Linked DNA regions of Oryctolagus cuniculus. The protein of the gene in region 1 interacts with the protein of each later gene in a pairwise test. Links are inferred from orthologs where the notes say so. Each region holds a gene or a part of one and is shown in the gene's direction. Other genes may lie near its edges.

Evidence for each region. The genes of interacting proteins can lie anywhere in the genome.
Region 2: the proteins of CCDC136 (region 1) and ATP5PO interact in binary tests that used the Homo sapiens proteins (3 or more experiments, as listed by UniProt). The two-hybrid records come from large-scale screens. The link is inferred for Oryctolagus cuniculus from reciprocal best matches to the Homo sapiens genes CCDC136 and ATP5PO.
Region 3: the proteins of CCDC136 (region 1) and SHFL interact in binary tests that used the Homo sapiens proteins (3 or more experiments, as listed by UniProt). The two-hybrid records come from large-scale screens. The link is inferred for Oryctolagus cuniculus from reciprocal best matches to the Homo sapiens genes CCDC136 and SHFL.

The regions. Positions count from the first base shown.
Region 1 is NC_091434.1:164,988,519-164,992,691, forward strand, and holds the start of CCDC136 (coiled-coil domain-containing protein 136), read left to right. Parts: upstream 1-1,373; 5' UTR 1,374-1,449; coding exon 1,450-1,507; intron 1,508-2,144; coding exon 2,145-2,252; intron 2,253-3,895; coding exon 3,896-4,144; intron 4,145-4,173. UniProt on the Homo sapiens protein: May play a role in acrosome formation in spermatogenesis and in fertilization.
Region 2 is NC_091435.1:11,119,817-11,124,106, forward strand, and holds the start of ATP5PO (ATP synthase subunit O, mitochondrial), read left to right. Parts: upstream 1-1,490; coding exon 1,491-1,526; intron 1,527-2,578; coding exon 2,579-2,629; intron 2,630-3,376; coding exon 3,377-3,487; intron 3,488-4,290. UniProt on the Homo sapiens protein: Subunit OSCP, of the mitochondrial membrane ATP synthase complex (F(1)F(0) ATP synthase or Complex V) that produces ATP from ADP in the presence of a proton gradient across the membrane which is generated by electron transport complexes of the respiratory chain.
Region 3 is NC_091447.1:67,206,277-67,210,389, reverse strand, and holds the start of SHFL (shiftless antiviral inhibitor of ribosomal frameshifting protein), read left to right. Parts: upstream 1-1,313; 5' UTR 1,314-1,597; coding exon 1,598-1,618; intron 1,619-2,114; coding exon 2,115-2,238; intron 2,239-2,367; coding exon 2,368-2,417; intron 2,418-3,630; coding exon 3,631-3,669; intron 3,670-3,769; coding exon 3,770-3,919; intron 3,920-4,113.

The DNA.
Region 1 (4,173 bases):
ACAGCTTCCTCCTCTGTCTCTCCCTTTGTCCACCAAGTGGTCAGCCGTCAAGGCCGTGGCGAGAGCCTGACCCTACTGGTGGAGACAGAACCAGAGAGGCTGGCTGTGCTGGGGCGGAAAGAACAGCCTCTTGGATGTGGGTCCCCAGAGCTCCACGCTCCCCAAGCCCCCCGTGCCAGCCCCTTCCAAGCGTCCCGACGACTCCCCACACCCCCGGCTTCAGCAGAGCTGCTATTTCCCGCTCACTGGGCTCTTCTGGCCGCAAGGTCTGGAGCAAGTGCAGGAAACACCCCCGACCTGTGTTCACCATTTCTCAGCGCCTCAGGCTGCGGGGGGGGGGGGGGGGACCGAGCCAAGGGGACAGGAGAGGGGCTGGGGAGTAAGGGACTTGCAGGCAACGTTCTTGCTAATGGGCACCGTGGACTGCACAGGATGTCGCCCTCTGCTCACTGCTAAGACAGCATTACCTGTGCTTGACTTGTACACGCGCCTTCTGTGCCTCAGGTACTCTGACCGATGCTGGAGACACAAGGTCTAAGATACTTCCCAACCTTCAAGAAGCTGGGCACACAGGATCCTCGCCCCCCACCACCATGCTGGGAGGCGCAGAGCCCAGAGAGGGCATCCCCTGGGGAGCAGATGAGGCCTTCCACGTGTAGGGCCTGGGAATCCGGGAGGAGGAGGCGCAGGGGTGAATGAAGGCAGACAGCCCTTCTAGGTGCCCCCCCCAACCTGGCGGCGGATATGCAAGAGAAGGGGTCTGTGCGCCTCGGGTTTAGGGATCTCCCACGTTTCTGAGAGGTGACAACTGCCTCGGCAATCCAGCGCCCGCAGCCACTCCCTGAATGCGTGGACGGTTGAATAAGAAGCCCTTTGGGACCCCACTGCTCCCTTCCACTGGAGTGACCATGGCAGACTTCGGCGGGGGCGTGGTTTGCAGCCACTGGGTGTGGGCCGGAGGGAGACAGAGCGGGACGGTGAAGGGGTCTTCGGGCCCGGGGCTGTGGCTGGGTGGGCGTCCAGGGAACACGGAGGGCTCAGGCCCCGCAGTGCTCATGTCCCGGCCTGGCTTCCCCCACGAAGGCGCTTGGAGGGGGTCACCGCGCTGCGGGGATGGGCACCTTGCCCTTCCTCCGCAGTCATTGGGCAGGACCGGGCCCCGACACCGGCCGCAGAGGCGTCCCTGCCACCACAGCAGATGGATGTGGCCGCTCCTTGTCGGGGCAGCTCGTGTCGGAGGGCAAGACCCGAGGCGTGCCGAGGCGCGCTCACCTTCGCAGAGAGCGCGCAGGGAGGGCTTCCGGGAGGCGGCGGCGGCGGCAGCAGCGGGAGGCCTGGCCAGGCCCCGCCCCTCGGTCCGCCCTCTCTCCTCCCCGCGCGCCCATTCGGGTCCCGGCCCGGCGGCTGCGGCTTCGGCTCGGGGAGGCGGCGGCAGCGGCGGGAGCGGCCATGGAGGCGGGCGCCGGGGCCGGCGCGGGAGCCGCGGGCTGGAGCTGCCCGGGCCCAGGTCAGAGCCGTCCTCCCTCCCCTCACCGCCCCTCCTGCCTCCGCTCCTGCGCGCCTGCCTGCAGACCCCGGGCATCCCTGCTCCTCCGCTGCCCACCCCTCCGCCCTCAGCCTTCCTCCCTCCGTCCCCGCGCGTCCCGGGCCCGGTCTCCATCTTTCCGGTACAGCGGCCACATCCTCCCCGGGGGCCCTCCCCTCTTGCCCCTCCAGCTCGCGGGGGCTCCAGCCGCTGCAGCCCCTCCAGTCCTAAAGGCTCCTGGGCGCCCGGCGAGGTGTGACGGGAGGGGCGGGGCGGGGCGGGTAGGGGGCGTCCCCGCCCAGACCCCTTCGTGCGCCTCTGTCGCCGCTTTGCAGTCGCACGGCCGCTCCCCCTTCCTGGCTGCTGCTCTTCCTTGCGTCCCAGCCCCTCTCCTCTCGGTCCCCTCTTCTGAACATACGCCCGCCCTCCTTCTGCCTAGACCAGGACCCCAGCTGGGCTGGGGTCCCCGCGGGGGAGGCTGAGGGAGGGGAGTCGCAGAGCTGAGCTGGCAGGCGCCTCCGCTGGGATTGCAGATCCCAGGGCCCCACCGGCCTGGAAGGCACGTCCGTCCCCTCTCTTCCCCTGCCCCCCACATGGCTTCCTGTCTCCCTGCTCACAGGACCCACAGTAACCACTTTAGGCTCCTATGAGGTGTCCGAGGGCTGTGAGAGGAAGAAGGGCCAGCGCTGGGGGTCCCTGGAGCGGCGAGGGATGCAAGCTATGGAGGGTGAGTTTCCCAAAAGGGCATCTTTCTTTCCGGTCCCTTCTCCTCCCTCCCTGTGACCCCAGAGCTCCGAGCCCGTGCCACAGCCCTGACCTCTGTTTCCCTCAGGCCCCTCCTCCTTTGGGTGGGAACTCCAGTCCTCCCCAGGGCGCTCTGAGGAAAGTTCAAGGTGCATCCCTTTGGGGCCCCGATGGCACAGCTAACCAGGTTGCGTGCCCCTGGGGAGCTGCCAGACAGAGAACCAGGCCTCTGTGGACAGAGCTTTGAAGCAGTCTTTCAGTGGGGGGTTCGTTCTCCCCGCCTGCGACCCAGATCCCAAGCTGTCTCTGGTTTTTAAAAAAGGCAAGGGCATGGGCACCGCCATGCACTTCAAAGCAAAGTCTCGCAGCTGCGGTCCTCCGGGCTCTGGTCGCCTGGAAGAGCCAGGCCAGGAAGGGCAGGTGAGGCCGTCCCCTCCGACGCACGTGGGTGCCCACCCCACCCGTGTGACTGGGCACCGCAGCCAACGCCGGGCCCCTGGAAGAACACGGCTGGTCCAGGTGCCGGGACTCCCTGGGAGGAGTCCCCAGGCCCCTCCGCCTATTCGGTGTGGGCCACCCTGGTCCCCTTAAGAGGGGCAGGTGACACAGGGGTCCCAGCTGAGCCTTAGGCTGCTGCTAAGAGGAAGTAAGAGCAGAGCCTCTGCATTTGAAGACAAAGCAGACAATCACCGTTCAGACAAGATTTTGCTATTTCCAGGAACTGCATTGCAGTGAAAGAGGGGCTGCTCGCCAACCAGGGGCTGGGGACCAGCACCTAACCCCCCCCTGTTGCTATTATTATTATTATTATTTTTTTCCTTTGAAACACATTACAGTGGCAGGCTCACTTTTACACACAGGTGCAAGCTAAGACTTGCCCTGAAAACTCCAGGGGCAAGAGGGGTTATCAAGGGAAGAGGGGCCTCACCCTGCTCAGGTGGGGAGGGGAGGCCCTGTGACAGCCAGGAGGGCCAAGGGAGGAGGGGCCTCACCCTGCTCAGGTGGGGAGGGGAGGCCCCGTGACAGCCAGCCCCAGCAGGGCCAAGCAAGGGGAGCTTGCAGAAAATTCCAAACAGCTGTTTGACAGAATGCGTTTGAAAGGGCCCCCGCGTTTGTCCAGTGAATTTAGAATCATTTCATTCACATGTTTTCTTTCTCTACCTACTGACGGGCAATGTTTGCTTATTATGGAAAGGCTAATTTTACACTAAGCCACCTGAATAATTTAAAAAAAAAAAACTTTCTACAAATCCTCAAACTGTAACTCTGGCCCTGATTGGCCTAAAGGCATGCCTGGTGTCCGAATCTCCTGACCATTCAGCCCTCTCCCCAGAGAACACACTAGAAAAGACTTGGGTGTGCATGTGTGGTTCCCCGGGCTGAGCCAGGAGACTGTTTGCCCACAGGTTGGAGGCAGAGGCCACCAAGCGTGCCGTTGGGCCAGGAGGATCTGGGGGAGGGGAGGGCGAGGTGGCCTCCTGACCTGCCCCTAACACCTAGGGCTCATCAGGCATCCAGGGGACTCCTGGGCACACCGGGCGGCACTGTTACGCCGCTCTGCCCTCTGGAAGGGCCACGCACAGGAGGCTGGCACTGACTCTCTTCTGGGCTGGGCGTCTCTCCCAGGAGAGGTGTTACTGCCAGCTCTCTATGAGGAGGAAGAGGAGGAGGAGGAGGAGGTGGAAGAAGAAGAAGCTGAGCACATGCAGAAGGCTGGCAGCGGAGGCTCCTTGTCCCTGAGCAAGCACCGGGGCCTGAGCCTCACCGAGACTGAGCTGGACGAGCTGAGAGCCCAGGTGCTGCAGCTGGTGGCCGAGCTGGAGGAGACGCGGGAGCTGGTCGGGCAGCATGAGGACGACTCCCTGGAGCTGCAGGGTGAGCGCCTGCCGCGGGCCGGGGGGCCT
Region 2 (4,290 bases), on another chromosome or scaffold:
ATGTGCAACCACCTAATAAATCCCAAAATTCAAATACCCATAAACCTCTGCATAGGGAAGGTGCATGGGGGTGGAGCGGAATGGGGTGAATACAAACTAAACAGAGGGCGTGTCCCCGTGGGACACACCTGCAGATGAATTCCCAATCTTTTTCAGAGCGACCCTGTTTTCCAAGCGTTTTTGGCCTCAGCACTTTGGATTCGCAGTATAGCTCCAAAAACCCACACAGGTGCTGCCGTTCAATTTCACGGAGAATACCAGGCCTACGAAGACAAGCCCTTTGTCATACCCTGCTCTGTCTTCAAGGCATGGTACAGCTTCTGACACACAGGACCCATGCTCCACAAAGCGTGTTAAATGAATAGACTTTCCATTAGATGTATATGGAAGAGGCTGGCGCTGTGGAGGAGCAGGTAAAGCCGCCATTTGTAGCATCAGCATCCCATATGGCCGTTGGCTGGAGTCCCGGTTGCTCCACTTCCGGTGCAGCTCCCTGCTATGGCCTGGGAGAGCAGTAGAAGATGGCCCAAGTTCCTGGTCCTCTGCACCCACGTGGGAGATCTGGAAGAAGCTCCTGGTTCCTGGCTTTGGCCTGGCCCAGCCCTGGCTGTTGCAGCCACCTAGGGAGTGAACCAGTGGATGGAAGATGTCTCGCCCTCTGTCTCTGTCTCTGTCTCTCTCTCCTCCTGTAATTCTGACTTTCAAATAAATAAAATCAATCTTTTTAAAAATTTAAATTAAATTAAATATGTATTTGGAAATATGATTTGCATTGTGCAGGGGAACAAGGATTTTCAGACACTACTAGCGAGCGAAAAGCATGACTTGGTTTAACCCTGTGGAAAGGACTTGGCCTCACGCATCGGAAGCCAAGTACTTGGACTATCTCACCAGGCTGTGCCGGTTCTGGGGACTATTTGGAATTTATCTTAATTTTTTTTTAATGAATGTATAAAGACGCTTCCAGGAGGGGCCATGGCAGTTCCCAACGGCTCCAGCGGGCGGGGGAGAGCCGCGGCGGCAGCCCCGCAGCCCGGCTTCGCTAGGCTGTCGGTACCCGGCACGCACCCGCCCTGCTTCCAAGGACACCTCTGCCGAAGGCGCCACGAAGGAAGCGCCCAAGAGGAGGTCGGCGATGCTGTCGGCTAAACCTGTTCCCGCAAAAGGGAAAACGAAGCTCCAGAAGGCAGCTGGAGGGATGAGTAGTCGGACATAAAGGTATCTGTGAAATGCGACAAACGCCATCGTTTTTACCCCGGGGACCAGAACTCAAGGATTCCTTTCGCAGGTGCAGCCTCCCCCTGGGAGGTCACCCCTACTGCATCGTCTAAGGACTACAACTCCCAGCTTGAAGGAGGTGGCTACGCACGCGCTGTGGCGACCTACGCCTACACTTCCCAGAGAGCCTAGCGGGTACGCTGACGCGCGCGTGCGCCCTCGCGCCCCTTCCTCTTCCAGCTCGGATTTGACCTACAGCTGCCCGGGAGAAGATGGCGGCCCCCGCAGTGTGCGGGCTCACCCGGCAGGTGAGAGAAGCTAGCTGGGAGGACGCCCTCCTTGGGGAAACTTGTACCAGAGCCTGCGCGCTAGGGTTCGAGGCCACCGCTGGGAAACCAAGGCCGCCGTTCAAGGTCGTGGGGCCTGGCGAGTGAGGGCGGCCCGGCTCGCGTCCCCCGGGACGCCTGTGGGGTGCCCGGCGCGGTGCTGGGCGCGCGGTCATCTCGGCGTCCTCAGGGCACAGCCCGGGAAACCCCTGGCGCCAGGGGCCACCGGCCAGCCCCGGGCTTCGCCGCCTGGGCTGTTCCATAAACCGTCGGGGGTCGCTGGTGACTTCAGGCGGATTTCCCAGGTTTATAAAGGACATGAGAAGTTCAAATGGGGCGTCCTGGGCTGCTTGGGTAGTGAGTGATGGGGTTAAGACCCGAACCCCAGTGTCACCGAGAAAGTGGCGTTGGGAAAAATAAATCAAATAGCCGCGCTTCCGTCTCACCGCGATGCTTTGCGCACTTGACCCCGCTGTAGTTTCCATGATTTCCCCATAAGCCCGAAAACCCTGCCCTTAGAGCCGGTTTTAACACAGTGCGTTCTGGAGCTCAGAGCCCTGGAGGGCGGTCCGTGCCTTTGCGGGTGCGTGGATTATGGCCCTTGAGAGCCGCAAGGGCATCGCTGGGGACTTGAACTTGTGCGGTCACGCTCCCGCGCCCTAACCACTAGACAGCAGGTGGATTCCTGACAGCCCATCTGTTACAGCTCCTTACGGATTCCTCCCCCTTGTGTTAAAATCCCGCTCAGAAATGTTAGATGTTAACTTCCTGGAAGGTAGCGTTTTCTCCTTGGTACTGGGCGCTTGCCTCGGCCGGTTCCTGGCAAACTAGGAGATTACTGGGAAAGCGATTTTCCAAACAACGTGGCGTGATTCTCGGTGAGAACATGGACTCCTGGCTAATAAAGACAGCTCACCCGCGTGGAGTCTATGTCAAAAAACATCGTTTAAAAGGCAGCCTTAGGTCGCGATTGAATGAATTACAGAGATTCTCGAAGACATTTCTTTTGACCTGTTTCCATTCTTGCTTTGAAGGTGCGAAGCTTCAGTACATCTGTGGTCCGGCCGTTTGCCAAGCTCGTGAGGGTAGGTCCTTTATACACACGCCTGTGTGGGGGAGGGGCCTGTGGGAGGGTGTGCATGCTCTAGCCCTACAGTCAGGCCGTGGCCTGTGGTGTCGCTTCTACGTAAACCTTTGCATGTTGTTGCGATTCACAAGACACACGTGCGCAGGGTGGGGACGGTGATGGTGGAGGGTGCTTGCCCTGTGACAGACGCCAGCGGAACCTTTAAGTGGGTGAGAAGTGACTGTCACATCCCTGCCGTCGTCCAAGCACCAGATCGCCCAGAGCCACCCTCCACGTGAGAAGTTCTCACCGCCCCTCTGCGGCGCTGGAGCATGGCAGGCCTTGCCGTTGTGTGAAAGGGGAAACTGAGGCTCCAGGAGACGGTGCTTTGCTCGGCCTCACTATTGCCTGGGCTTTCCCCTGTGCAGCCACGCAGCACCACGCGGCACGTGCAGTCGTACATTGACTGTGGCGTGTAGGGAAAAGGCCGCAGTCCCCTGGGGAAGATGGTGCAAGCGTGGGCTCTGTGGCGTTGAACGCTGGGGCGTGGGGGCCGGGAGCGGAGCCCCAGCAGCGCCGCCGCAGGGAGGAAGGGGTGCCTGCGGGCGCTTCCTAAACGTTTGCCTGGTCAGGCCAAGGAAACACCCAGACCCCTAATCGGTGTGAGGGTTTGTTCTTAGGACAGCCCTCTGATGACTGTCCGTGCCGTGTTGTCTGTACGAAGCACGGTTCACCGATCTCCCTCGGCTTCCCTCTCCCTCTCAAGCCGCCGGTGCAGGTGTACGGCGTGGAAGGCCGCTATGCCACCGCCCTCTACTCGGCCGCCTCCAAGCAGAACAAACTGGAGCAGGTGGAGAAGGAGCTGCTGAGAGTAGCGGTAAGCGCCTCCCCTCACTGCGCGTGCGCGGTGGCCCTGCGCGCTTCTCTGCTGTGGCGCCTTAGCTGTGCGTCCTGACAAGACAGCTTCTGGGAGAGGAGTCACAGAATAATAATTCTCTTACGCATGCTGTTAGCGATAGTGTTGGCTTGTCTTCTGAAACTTCTATAACAGGAACAAGCAGATACACACACGGAGAGTAATGCAGGGAACCTGGCTTTGGGCTGAGACGAGATAGAAATATCACTTCAAATGTAAGGTGATGATTTAAGAAAAAGTGCCATTTCAGGAAAGGATTTAAAAGGTTGCCTTCAAGAATCCGAGCTTGCTATCCAGCAGTTTCTACAACAGTGTTTAAAATGCCTGTTGGTTTTGTCTGAGAGTTTGTTTTCCTTATGAAGCCGTTTCCTGGGTTTTAATTAGTAGGTTGTTCCCAAGACGAGAGGGGAGGATGGCAGCCGCGCCTCCTGGGCAGCAAAAGGAGGGAAGGTGGTGGGCGCCTTGCCGACGGAACCGCAGGGCAGCCCCTGGGCGGGCCGGTGCCGTGCTGGGTAGCATGAAGACTACGTAAGGTGCGTTAGCAGAACGCTGCAGTGCAGCTGAGACGGGAGCAGCCCTGCTCGCTTTGCCCCGACGTCCCAAGTTCCCGCCCCTTCCGCTGTGTCCCCTCGGTGTACTTTCTCCTCGCCCCTCCCCTCTGCCAGGAAGGGAGGGGTGGGAGGCACAGTCCCATGGGTAGCCTGTGCCGTGTGACTGTGTGTTTTCAGAACACCTTGCATTTTTAATCCATGTACTTAGAAAAC
Region 3 (4,113 bases), on another chromosome or scaffold:
CATCCGAGTCTCCCTCGTGGGTGACAGGGGCGTGCCTGTTGTAGGATTGATGAATCCTATGGTAGGCATATTTTTAACTTAATAATTGATTTTATTTATTTGAAAGACAGAGATCTCCCATGCGCTGGTTCCCTCCCCAAATGCCTACAACATCCAACACTGGACCAGACCAAAACCAGGAGCCAGGAGCTCCCTCCAGGTCTCCCCCAGAGGTGTTAGGAGCCCCGTGCACCTGCCATCTCCTGGTGCCTCCCAGGGTGCGCATCAGCAGGGCACTGGAGTCGGGAGCTGGGATTCAAACCCTGGCACTCGAAGATGGGATGCCAGCGTCCCAGGCGGCAGCAAAACCTCTGTGCCCAACACCGCCCTGTGTTCCAGCAGTGTCCGGAGGCCACTTCTGAGGAGGGCCACGACTCCGGTGGCATCTAGGGCATGGGGGCCGGGGACAGATCCCCATCGCAAAGAGCTACTGGCCCAAAGTGTCCGCAGCTCTGTGCAGGCGGCTGAGAAAACGCAGTTGCTTCTTTCACCTGACTCCATCCTCACCAGCTATGACCTCAAACTTCTGGGGCTCTGTCCAAGCAGGAGATGATGTCCCCAGGCCGAGGGTCCCAGCTAAAGGCTCCCCAGGCCCCTCTGCTGGGGCCCCATGGGCCCCTCAACCGCCCGATTGAGAATGCAGATTCCAAAGCAAGCATTTGGCTTGAGAGGGTTAACGGGACACATGAGAGGCCTGCATGGCATGAGCTGAACTCCTGGGCTCTGATCCAGGTCCCAGTTCCCACTATAGCACAGCCCTGGGAGGCAGCAGGTGGTGGCTCAAGCACTTGGGTCCCTGCCACCCACGTGGGAGACCCGGATTGAGATGCCTGCTCCTGGCTTCGGCCTGACCCAGGCATTTAGGGAGTCCACCAGCAAATGGGAATGCACTCTCTCTCTTTATCTCTGCCAGCCAAATAAATAAAACTTTTAAAAAATAAAATGCACATTTCTAAAGCGCCCCCCAAAAGCTGGGGCCCATCACCCTGTGTTTTTCACAAGCACCTATGGATCATTCCCATTTTACAGAGCGATAAACTGAGGATCAGAAACGTCACAGTGGCCTGTCAGGAACTCAACAGCAGGGGAGGAGGGACCCCCCCCCACAAACCCCCCCAGGTCCTAACAAGCGCCCGGTCCGTGGGAGCGCACGCGGGGAGTGGGGGGCGCGGGGACCCGCCGCTGCCTTCGGAGGCGGCCCCGCCCCCACGGGGGACGTGAAGACGCGGCCCCCGCGCAGCGTGGGGACATGTGACCGACTGCAGAGGCCGCGCCGCCTCCCCCGCCCGAGGTGCGCGCGCCCCGCCGCAGGGCGCAGACCCCGCGCGCCCGCCTGGGTTTGGGGCGCAAGTGCAGAGGCGGAGCCGGGGCGGAGCCAGCGCACCCGTTCCCCACTTCGGAACCGAAAGCGAAACACCGGGCCCGGGCAGAAGGGCGGAGCCGGCCGCGAGACCCCGCCCCCTGCCCTGCGCGGCGGCCGGACCGACGGGCGCGCCCAGCGAGGAGGGCGGCTGAGCCACGCAGTGCGGACCCTCGCGGGGACCTGCGCGCCACCACCATGTCTCAGGAAGGTGTGGAGGTAGGCGATGGCCACGGCCGCGAGCCGAGGGGCCCGCGGCAGGCGCCGAGGGGGGCCCGGGGGCGCCGAGGGGGCTCCGCAGTTCCTGGGGGACCCCCATCCGCATCCCATCCCATGCTCAGGGCGAGCGCCCGGGCCCCCTCGGAGAGGAGCGCGCCGCTCACGTCCCCCGCCTCCGGAGCGAAGCGCGGCCTCCCCCCGAGGAGAAGCGGGGGCTGCGGGGTCAGGGGTCAGACCCAGGCCTTACCTGTGCGCCCCGCCCGCAGGCTGGGACCCGCGCCCGCCATCCGCTCCCACCCCCAGACCCTGTAGGGACTTGGGGGTTGTGCAGGAAATGTCGTGGAGAGATGGTGGGAAGGGGGGAGGGGGCGGAGGCCAAAACCAAGGCTAAAGTTCAGGCCCCAGGAATGTTACCTGGAGTTGGGGGAGGGGCGGCGGCTCGTCCCTCCCCCCCCCACCGGAGCCCACCTGTCCCCCCCCCCCCCCCCCGTCCCAGTTGGAGAAGAGCGTCCGGCGCCTCCGGGAGAAGTTTCATGGGAAGGTGTCGCCCAAGAAGGCCGGGGCTCTGATGAGGAAATTCGGCAGCGACCACACCGGCGTGGGTCGCTCCATCGTGTACGGTGAGCGCGCGGGGGTCCCCGGCCGGCGCCGAGGGGGCGTGGCGCGGGAGGGCCCAGCCGCGGGAGGGTCTAGCCGCGGGAGGGTCTGGGCGGCGCAGGCCGCTCAGGGGCCCTGTCTTATCCCGCCAGGGGTAAAGCAGAAGGACGGACAGGAGCTCAGTAATGACCTGGACGCGCAGGTAACCTGTCCCCTGGCCTCCAAGGTCGGGGTACCGGGCGGGAGAGCCGGGGGGACCCTCTGGAGCGAGCAGGGCTGGCCACACACAGCACCTTCCTCAATCATCGGCTGGGCCAGGGAGCCTGCAAACAGTAGGTGCTCATTAAGTGCTGATTGTGTTCCATGGAGCGGAGCGGACGCCGCCATTGGTGCCAGGGAGCCCAGGAAGTCAGGGAAGACTCCCTGGAGGAGGTGATGCAAAGCCTTGACAGGGAGGAGTGAGCCCTGGAATGGAAAAGCAGGGGAGGGGGTGACAGGTAGCATAGGCTGGGAGAGAAGAGGGGGAACTGACCCCAGAAGAGGCGGGAAGGGGGAAGCGGCTAGGGCGTCCTTGTGTTGAACGAATGAATGAGTGATGACTGGCTTTGTGTGGGAATGGCTGGATCTCACCTACCTGGAGATAAAGTGCGCATCCTAATCTTTATAGGCATAAAGCATGTGATAGAAATAATCACAGAGGGTAATCATTGACCCGGCACTTCCCCGAGGGGCCAGGTTCCAGGAACTGACTTGTTTGATCACCACACGAGCCAGGACCCATTATTGATCAGCCCATTTTACAGACCAGTACTGAGGCACGGTGGTGAAGTCATGCTTTCTCCAGGGGCCCCGGGGGGACGAGTGGTTTGCCCACGTTCTCACAGCCGGAAGTGCCAAAGCCAGGACTTGAACCTGTGTCTGTTCAAATCCAGAGCCCCAAGCACTAGCCGAAAGCGACGGGGCCTCAAATAGGTGGCGAGCTGGTGTTTAGCGCGAGGCGGAATGCCTGGTTGGAGTCCGGCTCCGCCTCTTCCGGTCCAGCTTCCTGCCATGGGCACGCTGGGAGGCGACAGGGATGGTTGAAGAGCTTGGGCCCCTACCGCCCACATGGGAGACCCCGATGGAGCTCCAGGCTCCCTGCTTCGGCCTGGCCCAGCCCTGGCTTTTGCGGGCGTTAGGATGATCTCGGGCAAGCCCTCCCCTGCCTCTGGGCCTCAGTTTCCCCATATGAGCAATGGCGAGAACAGGTGCGCCCACCTGTCGGGGCTAACGGAATGGCTAAGGGAAGCCATGTACCTGCTCCTTGCTGGCTGTGCACCTGCTCTGAGCTCTGGGAGGCCCCTCCCCCAGCAAAGGCGGGTAAAGGGGAGACCCGAGTGCCTGCCCCAGTTTCTGCCCCTGGCGTCTCCACGCAGGACCCCCCAGAGGACATGAAGCAGGACCGAGACATCCAGGTGAGTTGGCAGCTGGGCAGGGGGACCCGTGTGGGGGTGGCGGCAGACGTGTGCAAGGCAGAGGACGGTGACCCCTGTCCCCACCCTGCCCGTCCCGCAGGCCGTGGCCACCTCCCTCCTGCCGCTGACGGAGGCCAACCTGCGCATGTTCCAGCGGGCCCAGGATGACCTAATCCCTGCCGTGGACAGGCAGTTCGCCTGTTCCTCCTGCGACCACGTCTGGTGGCGCCGTGTGCCCCAGCGGAAGGAGGTGACCGCCTAAAACTTGACCTTGGTTTCTGTCCTGAACGCCACTCCTGACCCCTGACCTCTGACCTCCGAGCTTGACCCGCATCCCACCGGCTGACCTGCAGCTGCACTTCTGACCTCCGACCCCGCTGGTTGCGAATTGAACTTGACTCCAAAGCCACAACCCTAAATGTGGCGTCCAGGTTCCCCTGGGAG